2 linked regions of the Rattus norvegicus genome follow. The protein of the gene in region 1 purifies or fractionates together with the protein of each later gene. This does not show direct contact. Links are inferred from orthologs where the notes say so. Each region holds a gene or a part of one and is shown on either strand. Other genes may lie near its edges.

The links.
Region 2: the proteins of Mlf2 (region 1) and Bag2 purify together in Homo sapiens (affinity purification with mass spectrometry; 4 studies listed by BioGRID and IntAct, with this or other methods). This does not show direct contact. The link is inferred for Rattus norvegicus from reciprocal best matches to the Homo sapiens genes MLF2 and BAG2.

The regions. Positions count from the first base shown.
Region 1 is NC_086022.1:159,424,836-159,429,384, forward strand, and holds the start of Mlf2 (myeloid leukemia factor 2), read left to right. Parts: upstream 1-1,563; 5' UTR 1,564-1,804; coding exon 1,805-1,854; intron 1,855-2,073; coding exon 2,074-2,200; intron 2,201-2,443; coding exon 2,444-2,479; intron 2,480-3,459; coding exon 3,460-3,513; intron 3,514-3,808; coding exon 3,809-3,937; intron 3,938-4,102; coding exon 4,103-4,262; intron 4,263-4,549.
Region 2 is NC_086027.1:43,473,596-43,477,878, reverse strand, and holds the start of Bag2 (BAG family molecular chaperone regulator 2), read left to right. Parts: upstream 1-1,241; 5' UTR 1,242-1,261; coding exon 1,262-1,374; intron 1,375-4,283. UniProt on the Homo sapiens protein: Co-chaperone for HSP70 and HSC70 chaperone proteins. Acts as a nucleotide-exchange factor (NEF) promoting the release of ADP from the HSP70 and HSC70 proteins thereby triggering client/substrate protein release.

The sequences.
Region 1 (4,549 bases):
TAGATCAGGTTCCACACGGTACCAATGTGGCTTACAGCCAGAGTAAAGAACTTGGGACAGTTTTGAGTTTGGATCTCTGTGGGTCAAAGTCTACCCAATTCAGTTCATATCCTCTGACCCAAAGGGGAGGGCTCTTCTCTCTGGCTCAGCCAGATTTTGTGCAAGACAATTAGTATGTCAAAATACCAGTCTCTGGCTTTGGAGTCAGGCCTCATGGGTTTACTTTTTAGCTCCGCCCCTGAGTGATTCTGCTTAATTTAACTCTCCACCTCTTTATCCTTCTAAACTTTAGTCCCTTGACCTACCTACCTGCTTAGACTAAGCAAAGAAAGTTTTAAAGACGTAAGAGCTAGAGAAATGGGACTGGAATGTAACTTAGTGGTAGGACATGTGCTTGGCAAACCCGAAGCCCTCAGTTGGATCCTGAGCACTAAAGCCAAAACTAAAAAGCCGACAACAAAAAGCAAACATCAGAACTAACGCTTTTGCCCAGGCCAACCCTTCACAGACAGGTCTTGGAGTGGTCCAGAAGCCTAAGCCAACCCGGTGTCCTAAGGCAGTAAAGATCCAGCCTGGCCCAGGAGCGCTCTCTGGCGGCCAAACTCCCAACATCCCTTCCCTGGTTGGCCTTTTCCAAGGCTGAACTAGACCTGAGCTAAATTGTCACCTCCTCCTCTGCGTCACTCGGAGGACCCCGCCCGCCGGAGCGTCTCTCCAGAGGGACAGGCCCCCGCGCTCCCCTGGTTAAGCGCCCCTCCTGCACTGAGTTTAAAGGTCCCCGCAGGGATCCGCCCCACCGGTCGCCCCCAGACAGACCGCCTCCCCCCTCCCGCAAAGAAGGTGCGGCACACCCTGCCCCCGTCGCGCTCAACCAGTCCCTCCCGATTCCGCTCCGCCCTCCCCCACCTTTGCAGGAGCCTCTTCCTGTCCCCAGATCCCCGTGCCAGCTTAACGAGACCTCCCACCGGCCCCAGAGGACCCGCCCTCCGGGGCTCCGCCGCGAGCCCGCCGCCCCCTCCCATGCAGGTGGGTGGAGCTCCCGTGGCCCGCCCCCAAGACTGTCCGTCATGACGTCACTTCCGCTCGGGCCTGACCGAGGTTCGGCTCCTCGGGCCGAGGGCGGGGGTACGGAGGTGGCAGCTGAAGGCAGGAGGCGGTGCGGGAGGCGAGAAGCTCCCGCGCGGACCAATCCCTGCGTCCCGGGCCGAGACCCTGCTCCTGCAGCGCCCCGAGGAGAGGCCGGCCGGATGGGCCGCTGAGCCCGAGTCGGGGACCGGTGAGGCCAGGGCGGCGCGGCCCGCACGGTTGCAGGGATGCGAGCCCGGGAGTGGACCTCCCTCTCCGGCTCGCCCGGCGGGAGGCACGGGTTGGGGCAGCGGCGGACCGGCTCGGTGGGCAGTGAGGCCCGCCCGGAGAGGCCTGGTAGCGGCCCGTGCCAGCAGAAGGCGGAGTAGTTGGGGTCATTAATGGGGTGGCGGGCCGCCGTTCGAGATTCTCATCGAGACTGGCGTCGGAGGAGGAGCTGACCGTGGCTCGGGGAAGAGGATGGCGGGCGGGGGTGGAGGGGCAACACTAAGAAGCTTGGGGAAAATTCCGTGACCGGCTTGGAGAGCTACTCGCTCTCAAAACTAGAAGGTTATGTGGTCCACCTGCCGAAGGGTCTCTCTGGAGTTTGGATGGGTCATTGATAGTGTGTGCAAGAGACAGCTTTAAGAGTAGCTACACTGAGCTGGTGTGCATAAGCCTGCATGAAACTCAGCCTCCGTATCTTCACAGTGTGGAGCCCCCTGGAGCTGAGATCAGGATGTTCCGCTTCATGAGGGACGTGGAGCCTGAGGATCCCATGTTCCTGATGTGAGAATTCCCTCCCCCCTCGTGCACTCATCCCACTCTAATTCAGGTCTGAGCAGTTCAGACAGACCTCTGGGTTCCCGTGTCTGGAACCGGATAGAATTTAGCTGCAGCTCTCAGACGGGAGTTGGTCTCCTGCCACTGCGCACCCTGACTTATTTGGGGGGAGGTGAAGAAGGCTGGGGTTTAATCTGCCGTCTGTATTGTATGCTCACTCCACAGGGACCCCTTTGCAATTCACCGTCAGCATATGAGCCGCATGTTGTCAGGTGGCTTTGGATATAGCCCCTTCCTAAGCATCACAGATGGTAACATGCCAGCAACCAGGCCTGCCAGCCGCAGGATGCAGGTAACAGTTGGAACATACCGAGACCCAGGGTGACTAGTTAAGTATGCTGCCATTCTGGTCCTACAACCAGCTTTAAAAGGACATGATCTGTGTGGGAGGCAGAGGAGTGGGGATAGAGAATCTGGGAAAGGGGGCTTTGACTCCCGAGGAGAGAAGGATGGGGTTGGGGGATGGAGGCACTGGCCACGTTTGGTATAGTAAGGTCGTAGGATGTAGTTCTAACTTCTGTTCCTTATCTTGTAGGCTGGGGCTGTCTCTCCCTTTGGGATGTTGGGAATGGTGAGTTCTTGTCTTCTCTGTTCCCCTCGAGCTCGCTCTCTCTCTCTCTCTCTCTCTCTCCTGTGTCTCTGTCTGTCTCTCTCTTCTGGCTCTTTGTGTCTCTGTCTCTCTCTTTCTCTGACACACAGATACACACAGACCTTAGATGTTATTTTCAGATGTGCCACTTTGGTGACAATGTTAGTCTAGGGGTGGTCTCAAAATCTTCTCTGGATAGTTGACATAGTTTAGAGCCCATTGAATATAAATCATGGAGCTAGGGCTAGAGAAATGGCTCCAGGGTTAAGAGCACCTGGCTGTTCTTCCAGACAACCAGGGTTTGGTTCCCAGCACCCACATGACAGCTCACAACTGTCTGTCTGTAGTCTCCAGGCATCTGATGCCATCTTCTGTTCCCTACCGTGCATTGCATGAATGGAGGGAACACATACATGCAGACAGAACACTCATTCATAGAAAAATATAAATAAAGTGCTCAAATACTCCTGATAGCTGGAAGTTCTTATCCACTGGGGAAAGTAAGATTGTATAGCAGTTCTTTTGAGGAGGGAGACTTTGGGACACTTTTACAACTCTAGATATTCAGAGGGTTTTTTGGTCGATGTCTTGGATTTTGGTTTTTTGAGACAAGGTTTCTTTATAACAGCCCTGGGTCTCCTGGAACTCACTCTGTAGACCAGGCTGGCCACAAGTCATCTGTGCTTGCCTCTGCCTCCCAGTGTTGGATTAAAGGCAAACCGTCAACATTTAGCATGTTCAGAGGAGCTAACTCACTGCTTTTGGGTCACTTCCTTAAAGATAGGGAAATGCACAGGTAGGAGAAGCATCAGAACAGCCACAGACCCGAGAAGGTGGCCAGCAGCTTATGGGGAGGAGCATGAGTGTTCTGGCTACATTTAAGAAGGAAAGCGGGTCTGTCCTCAGGTGAGTGACAGGCCCACAACCGCTGACCCATCTTCCTGACCCTCTCCTTTCCTCAGTCCGGCGGCTTCATGGACATGTTTGGGATGATGAACGACATGATTGGGAACATGGTATGACTTGCTCCAGTCTTCCCCGGCCTTGATCTCGGTGGCAGCCAACATGGCGGGAGGGGGTGAGGTGATGTGCTAGTGAAGAGGCTGGGTTGGACTGAGCTGAGCCAGAGCACCGGGGTCCTGTGTGTGTTCTTATACCCCTGAGCGATCACATGTGTTAGTGTTGGGCTAGGGAGTTGGGCAGTTGTGATGCCCATTCTCCTTGTGTAGTTAAGAAAGCTGAGGCAAGAGCAGTCAGCTGGAGGGAGCTCCCTTCTGCAAAGTAGGCCCTCCTCATTCAGTCTCTCCTCAGGAGCACATGGCCGCCGGAGGCAACTGCCAGACCTTCTCTTCCTCCACGGTCATCTCCTACTCCAACACTGGGGATGGTGCCCCCAAGGTTTACCAGGAGACATCTGAGATGCGCTCTGCCCCAGGCGGGGTGAGTAAGGAACTCCCCTATCTCAGAGGAGGTAGGACTGATTGGCACACACAGGAACCAGGGACGTCTTTTTTCAGGAATGGGTCGTGGGTGGTGTGTTCATCCAGGGTGATGTAGCCAGGGCTTTGTGGGGACAATTGCATGTGTCTGGTCCCTTTGTCCCAGATCCGGGAGACACGGAGGACTGTCCGGGACTCAGACAGTGGCCTAGAGCAGATGTCCATTGGGCATCACATTCGGGATAGGGCCCACATCCTCCAGCGCTCCCGAAACCACCGCACGGGCGACCAGGAGGAGCGGCAGGACTACATCAACCTGGACGAAAGTGAGTGAGCCAGCCACTCAGCCAGCCTGCCTGCCTGCCTGCCTGCCTGCCTGCCTGCCTGCCTGCCTGCCTGCCTGCCTTCCTTCCTTCCTTCCTTCCTTCCTTCCTTCCTTCCTTCCTTCCTTCCTTCCTTCCTTCCTTCCGAGCAGCAGCCTGTAATCCAGTTCCTTTGCACTAGAGCACAGCTTTCTCTACCGTCCCACAGGCAGCTGAGGCAGCTGAGGGGAGCCCTGTGCTTAGGCTCTGTTGCCAGCTTCAGGGCTGAGTCAGGTGTTGCCAGGGAGGGG
Region 2 (4,283 bases), on another chromosome or scaffold:
TGTAAAATAAAGCATTTAATTGAACTTAGATACAGAGGGTCTGAGTCTATAATGGCCACAGAGATGCCCTGAGCACTCACATCTCAAACCCAAGTCGAGGCAGAGAGACACTAGGAATAGCTTGAATCTTTTCAAACCTGCCCATAGGGATACACTTCCTCCAGCGAGGCCTCACCTAAGTCCTCCCTGGTGATGAGGACAGAGAGTACAGGGAGGGGGAATTCAAACAACCACATCTGCCTGGCTTAGTTGCCAACCTAGCACAGAGGCAGACACTCTACCGCAGAGCTGTGTCTGCAGCCCCTTTTATTTTTCTTTTGACACAGGCGCTTGCTGAAGCTTCCCAGCCTAGCCTTGAATTCACTCTGGCCTAATTCACACAACTCTGTCTCAGCCTCCAGCGGAGCATTAGACCTGAGACTTGCCCAAGCTCAGACTTCCAAGACGTCCACAAAATGTTCAGATTTCTCGGTCGTGTCGTGAGATGACCGTGTTTAATGAAGCCAAGATAATCCACCGCTCATTAGTATTAAGATGAGTTCAGGATAAGGATGGGGTGGGGGGTGGAGGGGTGGGACTAGAAGCCAGTCGTACTTAAGGGGCTTGTCTCTGTTCAGTGATCTAATGGCTTTGAGTTCTGAGTGAAGGAAGTAAATGAACTTTGTTTCCCTGTGCATTTCTGTATCCTGTGCATTGAGAGAGCAAAACACGACTTTAAGTGGACGCGGCTTTGTACTTCAGCCCTGCTGACCTCTACAGCTTCTGACACATGAGCCTACCGAATATCATTCGCAGAGGATTTAAACAAGTTATGTGTGAAAGTAATAATCCTTTCATTGGAAAGGCAAGACAACACAGATGCACTTGGCTTCTCCTTATTTGGAGCCTGTGGTCCAGGCTTTCCCTGGACTCTCCGGAGCCCGCCTGGTCACCCGACAGGTCGGGCAAGTAGAGACTGCCCTTTAGGGCGTCCTGAATTGTCTCCGGCTCTCCCCACGTCACGGGCAGCACCCACTACGTCCTTGCTGTGAATCGTGGGTGCTGGGAGGAACGGCGTGGGCCCTCGGCGCCCCGGGGCAGGGTCCCCCACCCAGGCGTGCGGGCGGCTGCGCCCGCGCCTGCCCTTGTTTGGCCGCGCGGCCTCGGGGGTGGGGAGCCTGGGAGGTGGGGGCGGTGCCGTCCGCGTCAGCGGCGCCTGCGGTGACGGCGACGTGCGGCCCGCGCCACTGCTACCCGCGGACGCCGAGGACCCCCGGAGCTCATGGCCCAGGCGAAGATCAGCGCCAAGGCCCACGAGGGCCGCTTCTGCCGCTCGTCCTCCATGGCCGACCGCTCCAGCCGCCTGCTGGAGAGCCTGGACCAGCTGGAGCTCAGGTGAGGGCGGCGGGGGCGCGCGCGGGCGGGGGCGCGCTCCGGGTGGGCTCCCCTCCCCCGGCCGGCAGCGCGGCGAGCCAGTGCGGCTTGCAGAACTTCCAGATCCTTCGGCGCGGTCCCCCTCTGCCTTTAACTTTCCCGCTTCCAGGGGGCAGGCAGCAGGTTGGTGTGGTCCTTCCCCCCTCCCCTGTAATAAGTTTCTTTGCCCCAGATCACTTCATAGTAACACAAGAGTAAGTTTTAAAAAAGAAAAAACCCAGGACTGCCCCTCCGGGGGACCAGCGAGAATCAGACTCAAAAGGGGCCGCGCGAGATACCGAAGTTGGATACCATCCTTCCTTCTCTTAACCACGTGCAGTGCCCTCTGCAGTCTGTCCGTGTATGTTGTGCGTTTAGAAGACACAGCTGACACTTGGGAAGTGCCAGTCGCAGGTCTGAAAACACCAAAGGCAGGCGTCACACTCTCCCTGAGATTCTATCACGGGGACGGCCTTGTAGTAAAATTTCTAAATCGTGAATACTACTAGCAGATGCTGTGAATACTTGGCTTTAGCAACATGAGCCCCGGTGTATCTGGTGGGAACGTTAAGGTCTCCAAAGTTGTGCAAGTTTTGATTGTGTGCAGGCGCTGTTCCATGAAAATCGTATGGAGACACCCTGACACATGTTGTTCCCTAGTTTTCTCCAGGTTCTGCATAAGCAGAAATATGAGCCAAAATCTTAAGAGTCTTGTGCGTCTTCATCTCTCTCCGTGCATCCACCAAACACAGTATGTTTGCACAGAAAAATACAAGCAGTGTTTGTTACAATTGAGGTGTTCGCTATTTTTACTATTAGGAGAAAAGAACCAGAAGGTGAGAAACTTTTAGTCTCTGGAGTAGCAACCACAAGAGAAGCCTGAACCCTATGTCCCCCAAACCGGAGGGAGACAAAGGGACCTATGCTGAGAAGGGAGGGGGTCAGCATTAAAGCCCCTCTGAAAAGAGAGGAGTGTTTCCCTCTGTGAGGTAGGCTCCGAACTTTGACAGTACATTCTCAACTGCTCCGATTTTTTTTTTCCTTGAAGGGTTCAGGAAGTTGTCACTCTTCCTCAAGCTGAGTCATTGTTCAGAAACTTGAGTTAATCCCTGCCGGCCATGTGCTGAGTCCCTCCTCTCCTCCTGGGGGCCTCTTGAAAGTCTGGGGGTTGCTTAGTGTTACATTCTAATGTCTGACTACGTCAAAGGAATCTCAATTCCCGGCCCATAGGAGATTAAATTATGTTACTTATTAACAGTTGCGCTGAAGGGGGTTTCTTACTGTGTGTTTAGTGGTTCAAGGCCTTTACCAGTAAGCGCAGATTTCTGTAAGTCTTGTTTCTCTTTAAAAATGTGATGCGCACTTAGAAGTAAGTTTGTCAGAAGGTGAAAGAAATGGGGGGAGGGATGATGCTGCCTTTTAAGGTTTGGGGGCCCTTTTTAGAAGCCACCTGGACAGTGTCACAGAGCAGGACACTTTAAAATTAGGCTTTTCAAACATGGGTAGAGAAAGATGACGCTCCTGTGACGTCCCTCCAACTTTCTTAGTGCCCATGTGTGGGAAAAGCAGTGGATGGGGTAGTGTAAGTCATTGGTTGGTAGCCAGTGTGCATCTTCCATTCAGTTGAACTGGTTCTGTGGACTGAAACCACATCAAAGGCTTTATGTCCTGCAGGATGAACTGACCTCGGGGGGTGTCCGAAATGCTTTAAAATGTTTTATAAATCGGTAACAGATGCCGTTTGTTTCTAATGGCTTATGATATTAACGACACCATCTTACATTAAAACAATATTTTATTACTACGCCTCCTCTCCTGCAGTGCTTTCTCTAAAAAGATAATCCCGTCCTTTCCTGATTTACATGACCAGCTCTATGGGGATTCTGCGCTTGTCGAGGCCGAACGCCTTACTCTTTAGTGGTTATCCTAGTTTATAAATCATCCATGTTAGCATCAGTCTGTAGGCTAGGCCTCGTGTCTCTGGGGGAGTTACCGTTATCTGTATTGCGCAGATGAGAAGTTGAAGCTCAGATATACACAACATGCTTCAGTCCAGAGCAGAGCACTTCACATGTGAACACGGGAAGACCGGCTGCTCAGGTCAACACCATGTGTCCTGGTCTTGAATATCACTTTTCAAACTGTCCGTCTGACCTATGAATGAATATGATTTTACTAAAAGAGAAGAAAATCAATTTAGCGTTTGAGTCAGTAAACATTGAAGACCTGGAGCATGTCTGTTATTGAGTAGCTTCTAGGAGCTGTGGGTCAGGGGCTGGGCTTTGGACATTGGCCAAGGAGGTATAATGGTTGGTAGGACTGGGAGATCGGCTGCTTACACATCTCCCAAAACCGATCATGTGGTGAGCAGCTCCTTCCCAGTTCACTCAGCCAGCAGGGGCCAGGGAAACGGGCCACCCCCTGCTTTGGTTTCTGACTGTTTAAGGTTCCTGTTAGCATGTGCCAGTGTTCCAGGACCCACAAAGCAAGTTGACACCATATTTAATTTGTCGTTAACAGTCTGTAATTTAGAAGGAACGCTTTTCGTGCACACTGTCATTTGAATCTTATAAAACCCCCGAGGGAGGAGGGCGTTATTATCTTTTAGCAGTGAGAACGATGGGCTGTGATGGGACTTGGTGGGAAGGATGTTTGTCTAGCATGTTCATAACCCTAGGTTTGATCTCTGGCTTCAGAAAACCAGCATAGTGGTGCACGCCTGTAGTCCAGATCCTAGAATCATGAGGACTTGGTCATCCTGGGCTACGTAGTGAGTTCTGGGTCAGCCTGGGACACATGTCTGGGGATAGAGGAGGAAGAAACTGAGGGGCCAGGTGCCTTGCTGGTCAGTGGTTCGTTCGCAGTAACGGTGAATGAAATACAGCATTCTG